2 linked regions of the Anolis sagrei genome follow. Each later gene encodes a partner of the first gene's protein in a complex. Links are inferred from orthologs where the notes say so. Each region holds a gene or a part of one and is shown on either strand. Other genes may lie near its edges.

What was found. The genes of interacting proteins can lie anywhere in the genome.
Region 2: the proteins of SLC9A3 (region 1) and CHP1 are in contact, whole or in part, in a cryo-EM structure (PDB 7X2U), measured with the Homo sapiens proteins. The link is inferred for Anolis sagrei from reciprocal best matches to the Homo sapiens genes SLC9A3 and CHP1. Residues at the interface, in NP_004165.2 of Homo sapiens: Tyr396, Arg397, Met398, Gln400, Glu402, Arg474, Leu475, Asn476, Glu477, Leu479, His480, Gly481, Arg482, Ala483, Phe484, Asp485, His486, Ile487, Leu488, Ser489, Ala490, Ile491, Glu492, Asp493, Ile494, Ser495, Gly496, Gln497, Asn501, Arg504; in NP_009167.1 of Homo sapiens: Arg30, Leu31, Arg34, Leu38, Lys40, Glu49, Phe51, Gln52, Arg53, Ile54, Glu56, Leu57, Ala58, Ile59, Asn60, Pro61, Leu62, Asp64, Ile66, Phe70, Phe83, Leu87, Phe90, Leu115, Phe117, Ala118, Leu121, Tyr122, Leu135, Leu139.

The regions. Positions count from the first base shown.
Region 1 is NC_090026.1:59,984,790-59,992,601, reverse strand, and holds the start of SLC9A3 (sodium/hydrogen exchanger 3), read left to right. Parts: upstream 1-4,786; 5' UTR 4,787-4,910; coding exon 4,911-5,115; intron 5,116-7,812. UniProt on the Homo sapiens protein: Plasma membrane Na(+)/H(+) antiporter. Exchanges intracellular H(+) ions for extracellular Na(+) in 1:1 stoichiometry, playing a key role in salt and fluid absorption and pH homeostasis.
Region 2 is NC_090021.1:288,858,301-288,865,771, reverse strand, and holds the start of CHP1 (calcineurin B homologous protein 1), read left to right. Parts: upstream 1-4,438; 5' UTR 4,439-4,533; coding exon 4,534-4,600; intron 4,601-7,471. UniProt on the Homo sapiens protein: Calcium-binding protein involved in different processes such as regulation of vesicular trafficking, plasma membrane Na(+)/H(+) exchanger and gene transcription. Involved in the constitutive exocytic membrane traffic.

The DNA of each region.
Region 1 (7,812 bases):
AGGCAGCATTTCTCAGCTTGGGGGTCGGGACCCCTGGGGAGGTCACGAGGGGGTGTCGGAAGGGTTGCAAAAGACCATCAGAATTAAAAAAAAAAGAAAACACAGTAATTTTTGTTGACCATGGGGATTCTGTGTGGGAAGTTTAGCCTGATTCTATCGTTGGTGGGGTTCAGAAGGTTCTTTGATTGTAGGTGAACTATAAATCCCAGTAACAACAACTCCCCAATGTCAAGGTCTATTTCACCCAAACTCCATATGTGTTCATATTTGAGCATATGGAGTATTCATAGCAAGTTTGGTCTAGATCCTTCATTGTTTGAGTCCACAGTGCGCTCTGGATGTAGGTGAATTACAACTCCCAAACTCAAGGTAAATGCCCACCAAACCCTTCTGTTTTCTGTTGGTCATGGATGAACTGTGTGCCAGGTTCCATCAATTCCATCATTTGTGGCGTTTGGAATGCTCTGATTGTAGGTGAACTATAAATCCCAGCAACTACAATTCCCAAATGACAAAATCATATTTTTGAGTGATGGTCACTTGGCCTGATAGGTGTATAGCAGGGGTCCTCAAACTCTTTAAACAAAGGGCCATGTCACAGTCCCTCAAAGTGTTGGAAGGCCGTATTATAATTTGAAAAAAACACAAATGAATTCCCATGCTTTTGGCTGATGAGATAGGATTGTTGTTGTTGTTGTTGTGTGCTTTCAAGTTGTTTCCGGCGTAGGTTGACCCTGAGCGAGGGCTGGGTAAATGACCTTGGAGGGTCGTATCCGGTCCCCGGGTCTTAGTTTGAGGACCCCTGGTGTATAGTGTCCAAATTTGGTGTCAATTCGTCCAGTGGTTTTTGAGTTATTTTAATCCCACAAATGGAACATCACATTTTTATTTATATAGATTCATAGAATCAAAGAATCAAAGAGTTGGAAGAGACCTCATGGGCCATCCAGTCCAATCCCCCACCAAAAAGCAGGAAAATTACATTCAAAGCAAGCCTGACAGATGGCCATCCAGCCTCTGTTTAAAAGCTTCCAAAGAAGGAGCCTCCACCACAGTATGGGACAGAGAGTTCCACTGCTGAACGGCTCTCACAGTCAGGAAGTTCTTCCTAATGTTCAGACGGAATCTCCTTTCTTGTAGTTTGAAGCCATTGCTCCATTGCGTCCTTCTCTCCAGGGAAGCAGAAAACAGCTTGCTTCCTCCTCCCTATTTTTTACAGCATTTATATGCTGCCTTCTCACCCCAAAGGGGACTCAGAGCGGCTTAAAAGATATATTTTCATACAATATATTATATTATTAGCATAGTACAATATCAGTATTATATATTACTATAGTTATACATGGCTATCATGTCTCCTCTCAGCCTTCTCTTCTTCAGGCTAAACATGCCCAGCTCTTTGAGCTGCTCCTCATAGGGCTTGTTCTCCAGACCCTTGATCATTTTAGTCGCCCTCCTCTGGACACATTCCAGCTTGTCAATATCTCTCTTCAATTGTGGTGCCCAGAATTGGACACAAGGTGTGGCCCAACCAAGGCAGAATAGAGGGGTAGCATTACTTCCCTAGATCTACTATGCTCCTATTGATGCAGGCCAAAATCCCATTGGCTTTTTTTTGCTGCTACATCACATTGTTGGCTCATGTTTAACTTGTTGTCCATGAGGACTCCAAGATCTTTTTCACACGTACTGCTCTCGAGCCAGGCATCCCCCATTCTGTATCTTTGCATTTCATTTTTTCTGCCTAAGTGGAGTATCTTGCATTTGTCACTGTTGAACTTCATTTTGTTAGTTTTGGCCCATCTCTCTAATCTGTCAAGATCGTTTTGAATCCTGCTCCTGTCCTCTGGAGTATTGGCTATCCCTCCCAATTTGGTGTCATCTGCAAACTTGATGATCATGCCTTCTAACCCTTCATCTAAGTCATTAATAAAGATGTTGAACAGGACCGGGCCCAGGACGGATCCCTGCTGATGGCACTCCACTCATCACTTCTTTGCAGGATGAAGAGGAAGCATTGGTGAGCACCCTCTGGGTTTGTCTGCTTAACCAATTACAGATCCATCTAACTGTAGTTTTGCCTAGCCCACATTGGACTAGTTTCCTTGCCAGAAGGTCATGGGGGACCTTGTCGAAGGCCTTACTGAAATCCAGGTACGCTACATCCACGGCATTCCCCGCATCTACCCAGCTTGTAACTCTATCAAAAAAAGAGATCAGATTAGTCTGGCATGAGCCAACGATGTGATGTGGCAGTAAAAAAAGCCAATGGGATTTTGGCCTGCATCAATAGGAGCATAGTGTCTAGGTCCAGGGAAGTCATGCTACCCCTCTATTCCGCTTTGGTTAGACCACACCTGGAATATTGTGTCCAATTCTGGGCACCACAATTGAAGAGAGATTGACAAGCTGGAATGTGTCCAGTCCAGAGGAGGGTGACTAAAATGATAAAGGGTCTGGAGAACAAGCCTTATGAGGAGCGGCTCAAAGAGCTGGGCATGTTTAGCCTGAAGAAGAGAATGCTGAGAGGAGATATGATAGCCAAGCCATGTATAAATATGTGAGAAGAAGCCACAGGGAGGAGGGTGCAAGCTTGTTTTCTGCTTCCCTGGAGACTAGGACGTGGAACAATTGCTTCAAACTACAAGAAAGGAGGTTCCATCTGAACATGAGGAAGAACTTCCTGACTGTGAGAGCCATTCGACAGTGGAACTCTCTGCCCCGGAATGTGGTGGAGGCTCCTTCTTTGGAAGCTTTTAAGCAGAGGCTGGATGGCCATCTGTCAGGGGTGATTTGAATGCAATATTCCTGCTTCTTGGCAAAGAGGTTGGACTGGATGGCCCATGAGGTCCCTTCCAACTCTTTGATTCTATGATTCTATGACTCAAGCAATGATGGATCTGGACCAAACTTGTCACGAATATTCCATATGCCCAAATATGAACACAGATGGAGTTTGGGGGAAATAGACCTTCGCATTTGGGAGTTTTAGTTACTGGGATTTATAGTTCACCTACAATCAAAGAGCATTCTGAATGAACCCCATGAATGACAGAATTGGGGCAAACTTCCCACACAGAACCTCCATGACCAACAGAAAATACTTAAGGCCATCCAATCCAATTCTCCTCTCCCTAATTCGCAGGGTGGGCCAAGGGGCCCGCCCGCTTCGGGTCCGGAGGCGTGTCTGAAGACCTCAGTGTGCGCACCAAGAGTTGCCTCTTCTCCTGACTTTCTCTTCAGCCATTGGGACCAAGAGAGAGAGAGAGCCCCTCCGGCTGGAGGTATCTCCCACCTCCGCTCCCTACTTTGTTTTTGCACCTACCTTCAGGAAAGGTGGGCATCTCCACCTCTGTCTCTCTCTCTCTCTTGGTTCCAATGGCTGAGGAGAGAGTCAGGCGAAGAGATGACTTTTGGTGCACACGCCGGGGTCTTCAGGCACGCCTCCGGACCCAAAGCGGGCCAGGCAAGGGAGCAAGTGTGGCAAGTGTAGTTACTGGGATGTATAGTTCACCTACAATCAAAGAGCATTCTGAACTCCACCAATGATGGAATTGAACCAAATATGGCACACATAACTCCCACGATGGACAGAAAATATATATCAATGATTGGTTGGGGGGGGGGGGGGTGCGCCAAAATACTGTTTGCTTACCGTTGAAAATTACCTTAGGGCCGCCTCTGCTTGTTCTCCAGACCCTTGATCATTTTAGTCGCCCTCCTCTGGACACATTCCAGCTTGTCAATATCTCTCTTCAATTGTGGTGCCCAGAATTGGACACAATGAGGAGGAACTTCCTGACTGTGAGAGCCGTTCAGCAGTGGAACTCTCTGCCCCGGAGTGTGGTGGAGGCTCCTTCTTTGTAAGCTTTTAAACAGAGGCTGGATGGCCATCTGTCAGGGGTGCTTTGAATGCAATATTCCTGCTTCTTGCCAGGGGGTTGGACTGGATGGCCCATGAGGTCTCTTCCAACTCTTTGATTCTATGATTCTATGTTCAGATGGAATCTCCTTTCTCTAGTTTGAAGCCATCGTTTCGCATCCTAGTCTCCAAGGAAGCAGAAAACAAGCTTGGTCCCTCCTCCCTGTGGCTTCCTCTCACATATTTATACATGGCTATCATATCTCCTCTCAGCCTTCTCTTCTTCAAGGTAAACATGCCCAGCTCCTTAAGACACTCCTCATAGGGCTTGTTCTCCAGACCCTTGATCATTTTAGTCGCCCTCCTCTGGACACATTCCAGCTTGTCAATATCTCTCTTCAATTGTGGTGCCCAGAATTGGACACAATGAGGAGGAACTTCCTGACTGTGAGAGCCGTTCAGCAGTGGAACTCTCTGCCCCAGAGTGTGGTGGAGGCTCCTTCTTTGGAAACTTTTAAACAGAGGCTGGATGGCCATCTGTCAGGGGTGCTTTGAATGCAATATTCCTGCTTCTTGGCAGGGGGTTGGATTAGATGGCCCATGAGGTCTCTTCCAACTCTTTGATTCTATGATTCTATGGTTCTATGTGTGTCTTGATGCCAATGATTTGTTGTTTGGGTTTGTTTCCTTGCCCCCTTTGGCCCTGAATGTTTGCCCTTCTGGAAACCGCCCTGAGTCCCCCCCGGGGAGATAGAGCGGGTTACAAATCAAGGAGGCTGATAGGCCGGCCCTTTGGAGGGTGGCTCCGCCCCTGTGTGCCCCGAGGGGACGGGCGGAGGGGCTGAGCAAAGGCATAAAGGCGCCTCCACCTCCAGCCTGGCTGCTGCTGCTGCTGCTTCTCCATCTCCTCCGCCCTCGAAGCCCTCGAAGCGCGCCTCCTCCACCAAGAGAGCGCCGCCGCTCCGTGCCGCGCACCAAGCGGGCGAGTCTGCTCAGGAACCACCACCACCAGCAGCAGCTGCTGCAGCACCTTTGGGTCTTGAGCAGGATGAGCCTGGCGCGCCCTTGGGGGGCTCTGGTGGGGCTGGCCCTCCTCCCCCTCCTCCTCCTCTTGCCCTCCGCCTCGGCATCGGAAGAGGGCCCGCCTGACCCCGAGCCGGAGGGCTACCAAGTCGTCACCTTCAAATGGCACCACGTCCAGGACCCATACATCATCGCCCTCTGGATCCTGGTGGCCAGCGTGGCCAAGATCTGTGAGTCCAAAACATTTTTTTCCCCACCTCTTAATCTTAATCTTTGCTGTGAGTTTTGCGGACTGTATAGCTATGTCCCAGTAGCACTCTCTCCCGACGTTTCGCCTGCATCTGTGCCTGGCATGCACAGAGTTTTGTTGGCAATGGGGCAAGTATTTATTTATTTGTCGTGTCAGAGCAACCAGTCCATTATATTACATTTCTAACAGAACAGAGCAAACAAACAGACAAATACAAAACTTGTGAATTTGGTAGTTGGTTAAATGTCCTTAAATGGGGCAAGTGTGTATGTCTAGCTATTTATATCAGTGGGAGAAATTACTCTTGTCTGTTGTGAATGTAGCAATTGAAGGCCCTTCCAGACAAGCCCTACATCCCAGGATCTGGCTTCAAACTACAAGAGAGGAGATTCCATCTGAACATGAGGAAGAACTTCCTGACTGTGAGAGCCGTTCAGCAGTGGAACTCTCTGCCCCGGAGAGTGGTGGAGGCTCCTTCTTTGGAAGCTTTTAAACAGAGGCTGGATGGCCATTTGTCAGGGGTGATTTGAATGCAATATTCCTGCTTCTTGGCAGGGGGTTGGACTGGATGGCCCATGAGGTCTCTTCCAACTCTTTGATTCTATGATTCTATGATCTGATCCCAGGTTTTAAGAATTAATAACAGACAGGCATGTAGCGGGGGGGGGGGGGCCTTGAGGGGCTTCAGCCCCCTCCCCCCGAAATTCTCGTGGTGGTTCGCGAAAAGGCCTTACTGGTGCATTATTTAAACTGTTATGTTTATTCATATCATGATCTGATCACCCTACTCAATATATCCCATATGCATGGGGGTATTGGGGTAATGATACAAAAGGTTTGCTAGGCTAGACCCTCTTTCACTCAGACTCATCCCCCCAAAACTCCCCCCTGAAAAAAATTCACCCCCCCCCCCCCCGAAACGAAATCCTGGCCTGTCTGTTGTGAATGTAGCAATTGAAGGCCCTTCCAGACAAGCCCTACATCCCAGGATCTGATCCCAGGTTTTAAGAATTAATAACAACAGAGAGTAAACAATCAGGCGCATCAAATCACCCCTCAAAGAAAGATTCCCCCAGGCACTTCCAAGCCATTAAATGCTAATCAAGGTGGTCAGTTTTTATTTATTTATTTATTTAAAAGTTTTGTATATCGACCTTCTCACCTCTCTTGAGAGACTCAGACCAGTTTCCAACCATAATATCACATACAGTCAATAAAAACATCATAATTCATATTCCAGTAAAACTATTAAAATAGCAATTACATTCAATAACTACAATGATTGAAACAGTTGAAACATTCACACCTAGCTCCAGCAGACAAAAGTCCTTTGCCCCACCCTGGTCTTTCCACAGATATATAAACCCATTTTCCTACTTCCAACAGACCTCACTACCTCTGAGGATGCTTGCCATAGATGCAGGTGAAACGTCAGGAGAGAATGCCTCTAGAACATGGTCATATAGCCCGGAAAACCTACAACAACCCAATAATAATAATAATAATAATAATAATAATATTTATTTACTAGCTGTCCCCTGCTACGCGTTGCTGTGGCCCAGTCTGGAAAATAAAGTAATGAGAAAGTGTTGGCTTCTAATATATGTAATGTCTTGATGCTTGTGAGTAAACAGTATTTCTTGCTGTATTGTCGAAGGCTTTCATGGCCAGAATCACTGGGTTGTTGTAGTTTTTTTCGGGCTATATGGCCATAATCTAGACAGGCATGTAGCCGGGAGGGGGGGGGGGGGCTTGAGGGGCTTCAGCCCCCCCCCCCCCCCGAAATTCTCATGGTGGTTCGCGAAAAGGCCTTACTGGTGCATTATTTAAACTGTTATGTTTATTCATATCATGATCTGATCACCATAATCAATATATGGGGTAATGATACAAAAGGTTTGCTAGGCTAGACCCTCTTTCACTCAGACTCAGCCCCCCCTGAAAGTCAGCCCCCCCCCAAAACTTCCCCCTGAAAAAAATTCACTCACCCCCACCACCACCCCCGAAACGAAATCCTGGCTATGGGCCTGTCTGTTGTGAATGTAGCAATTGAAGACCCTTCCAGACAAACCCTACATCCCAGGATCTGATCCCAGGTTTTAAGAATTAATAACAACAGAGAGTAAACAATCAGGCACATCAAATCACCTCTCAAAGAAAGATTCCCCCAGGCACTTCCAAGCCATTAAATGCTAATCAAGGTGGTCAACTGAAACATTCACACCTAGCTCCAGCAGACAAAAGTCCTTTGTCCTACCCTGGTCTTTCCACAGATATAGGTAAAGGTTGTCCCCTGACATTAACTCCAGTCATGTCTGACTCTGGGGTGTGGTGCTCATCTCCATTTCTAAGCCGAAGAGCCAGCGTTGTCCATAGACACCTCCAAGGTCATGTGGCCAGCATGACAGCATGGAGCGCCGTTATATAAACCCATTTTCCTACTTCCAACAGACCTCTCTGAGGATGCTTGCCATAGATGCAGGCGAAATGTCAGGAGAGAATGCCTCTAGAACATGGCCATATAGCCCGGAAAACCTACAACAACCCAATAATAATAATAATAATAATAATAATAATAATAATAATATTATTTATTTACTAGCTGTCCCCTGCCACGCGTTGCTGTGGCCCAGTCTGGAAAATAAAGTAATGAGAAAGTGTTGGCTTCTAATATATG
Region 2 (7,471 bases), on another chromosome or scaffold:
CTGCATTGTTGTGCATACATAATTAAAGGCTTTCTGTAGGTTGCAGAACAACCTAAACAGACTAGAGTTAGGAGTCGTTTCAACCTCCAGGCATGCATGCAAGAAGGTTGTGACTATTAGGAATGTCTCTCATTTGAAAGGTTTGCCATTCCATTAAGTTCAATTGTATGCATAATGACACACAACCTTTCAGTATAAGCAACTACAGAGCACAATAAATCTTCTCTCCTTTCCCTCTACTCATATTCATTGCAAACGTTTATGGAGGAATAATCAAACAAGATTGTCATTTTAATGCTATTTTTAAAGCAAAGTGATACAATGGTGGAAGGAAAGCTACAGGAAGGGAAGATCGGGAGACTGTTTTATGCATTTTATTATAGTGTCCGTGTTTGTTTTATTTTTATAGGGAAGGTGTGAGTTGTATTTTTTTAATTACAAAAAAAATAAGTTTAAAAAATTGTCATTTTGAAGCCAGCAAGATCAGTCTGCTATACATACGAAAAGGAAATAGAGCTCAATAGTGGTTCACAGAAACTGGTCTTTCAGCCACTTACACTGCTCTTTGTTTAAACTACAAGCTTTTAAAAGTAGAGCTCAGCTAGACATGTAAAATGGTAAGCAACAAAGAATTTAACTTTAAAAATAGAGTTCATGGGAAAATTGTCCCATTTCAGCTAGATGACTGCAAGCAGCTCTCAGTTCCAGGAATCTCCTTTCCCCTACTGCCTAAACAGAAAGAATTCTTGAACTTTAGCACAGTATGTTAGGTTGGGACAGGGTGAAACCTTGTCGTTATCAGAGAATTAGATGATTCACTACAAAAAAATAAATCTACTTTATTCATGTCCAAAAATCAAGACCAGGTGGAAAGGGAGGTGGGACAGAGCCATTAAAGACTTTCAGAATACTCCAGGTCTATCAGAATAATTACAAGTTGTATATGACACTGCACTGTACTTTGGTATACTCATCACAATTATAACACTATCCTGAGAATGTTTTCCTACATATGAACCTTATTAAGTTAATTAGGAATTGTTCCCTAGCCTGGGTGTTTACGACTGCTACAGCCAGTCATACATGTGGCAGGAAAAGCAAAACAGGCATACTTTCTTAAGCTGACTATGATTAAAGTAGGCAATTCCTCAATTCAGAATAATTTTGATTTGGAAAACTTGCCCCTTAGGTTAGAAGAGGAAAAGAAAGTTTACTGCCAATGTCTTTAAACTGCATCAGTTCGATATCTGAGTCTAGGTCATTTAAAAATAACTACAATTTGCTTTGAAAACTTGTTTGTTTCTAAAAGAGCACACCACCTGCTAACAGAGGGAGATTAAAGGGCTTATATAGCCTGAGCTGACAATTTTTCTCAGGTCAAGACCAATCACCTTCTGTTCAAGACGTTTTAACACCATCTTGGGCACCCGAGTAATGGTGCACATTGACTTCCATTCCAACAAGCATGTGCATATATGTAACCCCAAACAATTTCACAGGGTTCTCTTAGGGTAGGAATACTCAGAGGTGGTTTTATTTATTTATTTGCTTTATTTCTATACCCCATTTTTCAGCCATCGTTTTCATTTGCTTTTTGTATCTATGGAAATATTTTCAAGTTGCCTAAAAATTTATTGCTTTCCTGTTGTTTTCATAGGCTAAGAATAGACAAAGGCGGATATACCAATTCCTTCCTCTTAAACTATTCCTATAGGTTCAATGGGGGGAAAACATGTATTTTTTCTTAAATTGGATGTTTGTGTCTTTTTTTTTTTTACCAAAAGGATCCCTTTTATTTTAATATAAAGATAGAAAGGCTGAAGAATAAAAATCAGTCAGGCAAGACCAAGGCACTGGAAAAGGGCAAAAGCAAGCAGCTCTTGCTGCAAAACCAACCACAATTGGAAAAGGTGGAAGGTCATCAAAAGAGGAATCTCATATACTTTACATCAGGGGTTCTCAAACTAAGGCCCGTGGGCTGGATGCGGCCCTCCAAGGTCATTTACTCAGCCCCTGGTCTAAACTTTGGACTTAGGATCACCCTAAATCTGAAACAACTTCAAGTCACACAACAACAACAACAACCTGAATTAACTTGGCTATCTGATCAGCCAAAAGCAGGCCCACCTTTCCCATTGAAATACTGGTAAGTTTGTTGGTTAAAATTGTTCCTCATTTTAAATACTGCATTGTTCTTTCATGTATTTTGCAGTACAAATAATTTATCTGCAGTGTTCATAGGAATTTGTCCATGTTTTTCTCAAAATATAGTCGTCATTCCCCAAGTCTTAGGGACAATGAATTGGCCCTCTGCTTTAAAAGTATGAGGCCCCCTGCGTTACACATATCAGTCCCATTTGGAAGAAGCATCCTGATACTCCAGCAGCCAGTCTGCTTTATGTTCTACCACCCTGGAACTTGTTAGACAAACAGATATATTGCAGGGCACGGATTTAATGATGTTGTGCACAGGGCTATAGAGTAATGCCTTGAAGAATCATAGAGTTGGAAGAGACCTCATGGGCCATCCAGTCCAACCCCCTGCCAAGAAGCAGGAATATTGCATTCAAAGCACCCCTGACAAATGGCCATCCAGCCTGTTTAAAAGCTTCCATAGAAGGAGCCTCCACCACACTCCAGGGCAGAGAGTTCCACTGCTGAACGGCTCTCACAGTCAGGAAGTTCTTCCTAATGTTCAGATGGAATCTCTGTTCTTGTAGTTTGATGCCATTGTTCCGCGTCCTGTGTTCCATCCAAGAAGAGACATATGCACACATATGACTTGAAGAGAGGGGAGGCCAGAGGACAGATCCATCTTGCCTCCTGCATATGCCATCAGTTGGGGACCGCTCCCCCAGCACCAACTGCCACTTTGGGCCAGAGTGAAGAGAGGAGGGCAGAAGACAGTTCCACGTTGTCTCCTGTGCTATGCTAATAATATAATATAATGTAATATACTGTATTGTATATACATATAATATTTATATTATAATGTAATACAAAATAATACTAATATGCTATTATAATTATATATTTATATTACATGCAATATTACTAATAACAATACAATATAATGGTGTAGCACAATATAATAATATGTACTATGCTAATAATATAATATATTGTATGTATAAATATCTTGTAAACCGCTCTGAGTCCCCTTCGTAGTGAGAAGGGCGGCATATTAATGTCATAAATAAATAAATATATCTGTATTTGCAGCAATCATCTAATGCAGGGGTCCACAAACTTTAAACAGAGGGCCAGGTCACAGTTCCTCAAACTGATGGAGGGCCGGATTATAATTTGAAAAAACCATGAATTCCTATGCACACCACATATCTTATTTGTAATGCAAAAATCACTTAAAACAATACAATAATTAAAATGAAGAACAATTTAACAAATATAAACTTTTTGGTATCTCAATGGGAAGTGTGGGCCTGCTTCTGGCTCATGAGATAGGATTGTTATGTGCTTTCAAGTCGTTTCAGACTTAGATTGACCCTGAGCGAGGGCCGGGTAAATGACCTTGGAGGGCCGCATCCGGCCCCTGGGCCTTAGTTTGAGGACCCCTGGTCTAATGTGTATATTTGTGCCTTCAAGCTGCCCACTGACCTATGGATGTTTGTGCCTTCAAGTTGCCCACTGACCTATGGCTACCCCACTGTTTTCTTGGGCAAGGGATATTCAGTTTTGCCAGTTCTTTCCTGTCAAATATGGCCTACACCACCTGGAATTAATGGGTGGCCTCCCACCCAAGAGCTTAACCAAACCTGACCCTACTTAGCCTTCAAGGCCAAGCAGGACAGTGTGACTTTATGATATTTAAGCTTAGACCCAATATTTACAAGACAGCCCACAGAAACAGCACCTAAGAAACAACCAGTAAGACTGTAGTATAGGCACGGGCAAACTTGGGCCCTCCAGGTGTTTTGGGCTTCAGCTCCCACCATTCCTAACAGCCTCAGGCCCATTCCTTTCAGGGCCATTCCTTTCAGGAATGGGCCTGAGGCTGTTAGGAATGGTGGGAGCTGAAGCCCAAAACACCTGGAGGGCCCAAGTTTGCCCATGCCTGCTGTAGTCTATGCCCTAGTGAGGCCAACCAGAAAAAAAGGGCAAAATTTCTTAAAGGCCTCAGGCTTATTTCGAAACATACAAGTTAAAAACAACTAGAGCTGTACAAGACGAGGCTCAATTTCTCAAGAGGACGCGCGTCCCATCCACCTCGCGCAGGAGAAACTCCGCCCGCCAGGAGCCGAGGGCGCCGAAGTGTTGCTCTGCGCAGGCGCGAAGTCGGCGTTGCTCTGCGCAGGCGGGGAAGAGGTTATAAAAGGGAGCGGCGCGCGCCCTGGCGGTTGGAGGCTCTGCTCTCGGCGGGACGTCACACGCTCAGCTGGTTGGCGGTGCGCCGCTCGCGCGTCCCTTCCTTCCCTCCCTCGCACCGCCCGCGCGCCCCCGGCTGCTAGGCCGAGAGAAGACGCACGCGCGCGCGCTGCCTTCGGAGGCTGGTTGCGATTCGAGGCGGCCGCCATGGGCTCCCGGGCGTCCACGCTGCTGAGGGACGAGGAGATCGAGGAGATCAAGAAGGAGACGGGCTGTGAGTGCCGGGAGAGGAAGGGGAAGGGGAGGGCTGGCCTGCTCGCCAACGGCCCTGGGCCTTGAGGTGAAGTCCGACGGGGCTGTCCCTCCCTTCTGTCATTGGCAGAGGCCAAGCTTGCAGTCTCCGAAGGGGACGCTGGGCCTCCTTGTCTGACAGGAGGTTGGGGTTGTGGACTTCCGCCTTGTGCTTCCCAGTTTTGATTGTTTTGGACCTCAGCTGAGGGGGGAAAGGAAGGGAGCTGAGGCTGATAGGAGTGGTGGGAGTTAAAGTCCAAAACACCCGAAGGGCCCAAGTTTGTCCATGCCTAGATCAGAGTTCCTGATATCTGGCCAATTGAATCACTCAGTGAACCAATGCTTGGGAGCCACTAGGCAGGCATGGGCAAACTTGGGTTATATGGCTGTGTGGAAGGGCCCTAGGGCCTCATCTCCAAGATATCTCATTATGTATGTCTTAACAGGTATGGGTAAACTAGACCAGGCTGTGTGGAAAGGCCCCAAGGCCTCATCTCCAAGATCTATATAAATAAATATGTAATGTTCGTTTGTGGGATTAACCTAACTCAAAAACCACTGGGCGAATGGACACCAAGTTTGGGCACAATGCACCTATCAGGCCAACAAGTAACCATCACTTATAAAAACACTGAAAAACACAGCGGAAAATACTTTAAATACCAAAAAATACATTACAACACATGCGCAAAATTATTATTATTATTATTATTATTATTAAACTTTATTTGTACCCCGCTAGCATCTCCCGAAGGACTCGATGCAGCTTACAAAGGCCAAGGCCTCAAACAACAACAAGAAACAATAACAATACAATGCAAGCAAATTAAAAACATAAGCAATAACAAAAACAAAACATTACACTATTACGCAATAAAACCAGGGCCGGGCCAATGAAAGGTACAGGTTAAAAAAGTGCTGGGTGTAAGAGGTGATATGTTGGGATTCTGGGCAAGTGCAATGTGCAGAGAGTTTTAAGCTCTAATAAAGTGCTTCTGGGACGTAGTGCTGGAGGTTATCCTATTCTGGAAAGGCACATCGGAATAGCCAGGTCTTCAAGTTCTTCCTAAAGACTGCCAACGTGGGTGCAAAACCACATATCTACGCAAACACACACATATATACAAATACACATATATATACACACAAAACACATATACACAGACTGGGCCACAGCAACGCATGGCAGGGGACGGCTAGTATCTCATAAATATATTACTGGCATGGGCAAACTTCAGCCCTCCAGGTGTTTTAGACTTCAAATCCCACCATTCCTAACAGCCTTAGGCCCCTTCCTTTCCCCCCTCAGCTTAAGCTTAAGCAGCTGAGGGGGAAAAGGAAGGGGGTTGAGACTGTTTGGAATGGTGGGATTTGAAGTCCAAAACACCTAGAGGGCCCAAGTTTGCCCATGCCTAGACCAGAGTTCCTGATCTCGCCAATTGAAGCCCTAATCACCCAGAGAACCAATGCTTGGGAGCCACTAGGCAGGCATGGGCAAACTTGGGTTATATGGCTGTGTGGAAGGGCCCTAGGGCCTCATCTCCAAGATTTCTCATTATGTATATCTAACAGGCATGGGCAAACTTAGGCCCTCCAAATGTTTTGGACTTCAACTACCACCATTCCTAACAGCCTTAGGCCCCTTCCTTTCCCCCCTCAGCTTAAGCAGGTAAGGGGGGGGGGAAGGAAGGGGGCTGAGGCCGTTCAGAATGGTGGGAGTTAAAGTCCAAAACACCTGGAGGATCCAAGTTTGCCCATGCTTGCACTACACAGAGTACCGCTCCTCAAAGTATGGGTCCTGATCCCAAGAGGTCCTCTTCTTGGCTCAATGCTGGGGTTGCAAAAAATTGGCAGCAGTAAAAGGTTTCCAATCATTGCCCCTTTACATAAATTAGTCAGCAGCAACAACGGGCCATCTTTACAGTGGACCCTGCAGACGGGATGCATGAGCTGGACTCCACAAAAAAGGAAAACTAGCCTCTTTAGCAGGTCTTGCAAATTCTTGTTAATTTTCAGTAAATGTGTGATTTTTAACCTATTTTATATACCTGGGGTCTTCCAGATGTTTTGAACTTAACATTCCAGAGTCCCTGAACATTGGCCATGGCAGCCAAGGCTTCTGGGTTATTTATTTATTTATTTATTCTGAACATTTTTTACCCCCGCCCTTCTCAACCCGTAGGGGGACTCAGGGTTGAAGACCAAAACACTGGAGGTATTAGCAGTAGTTCCCAGCCTTAACTTGAGCAGGGGATACTTGACTAGAGACCACTTTCCAACATTAGTACTAAACAACGTTAGTACTAAAAGGGTTATGAATCGGTTTTTGGTCAATTTTAGATTCAGTTCAGGGTGCTAATTCAGAAAATCGCATTGGATAGACCACGTCAGATACAGAACATATGCCATGGTCAGCAACAGGGAAGGAGTGGCAGGTAGCGTGAAGGGAGCGGAAATAAAATAAGCAAATAAAAAGGAGGTTTGCAGACCAGATTTTCGCTCTCGAGGTCCATGGTCCACAGGTTTAGAGCCACTGGACTAGAGGTTGGGAATCACTGCCCTAGGAGAAGTCGACCCCAAGCATCTCATAACTAAGGGGAAAAGGACTTCAGACTGGGTTGTTGTGAGTTGTCTGGGCTGTGTGGCCATGTTCCAGAAGCATTCTCTCTTTACGTTTCGCCCACATGTAACATCAGGAGGGAATGCTTCTGGAACATGACCGTACAGCCTGGAAAACTCACAACAACCCAGTGATTCCATCCATGAAAGCTTTTGACAATACATTGGACTTCAGACTGTCCTGTTACAGGATCTGGCAGGCAGTGGCTCCTGCTGACTGTCCTCCTTTGTCAAC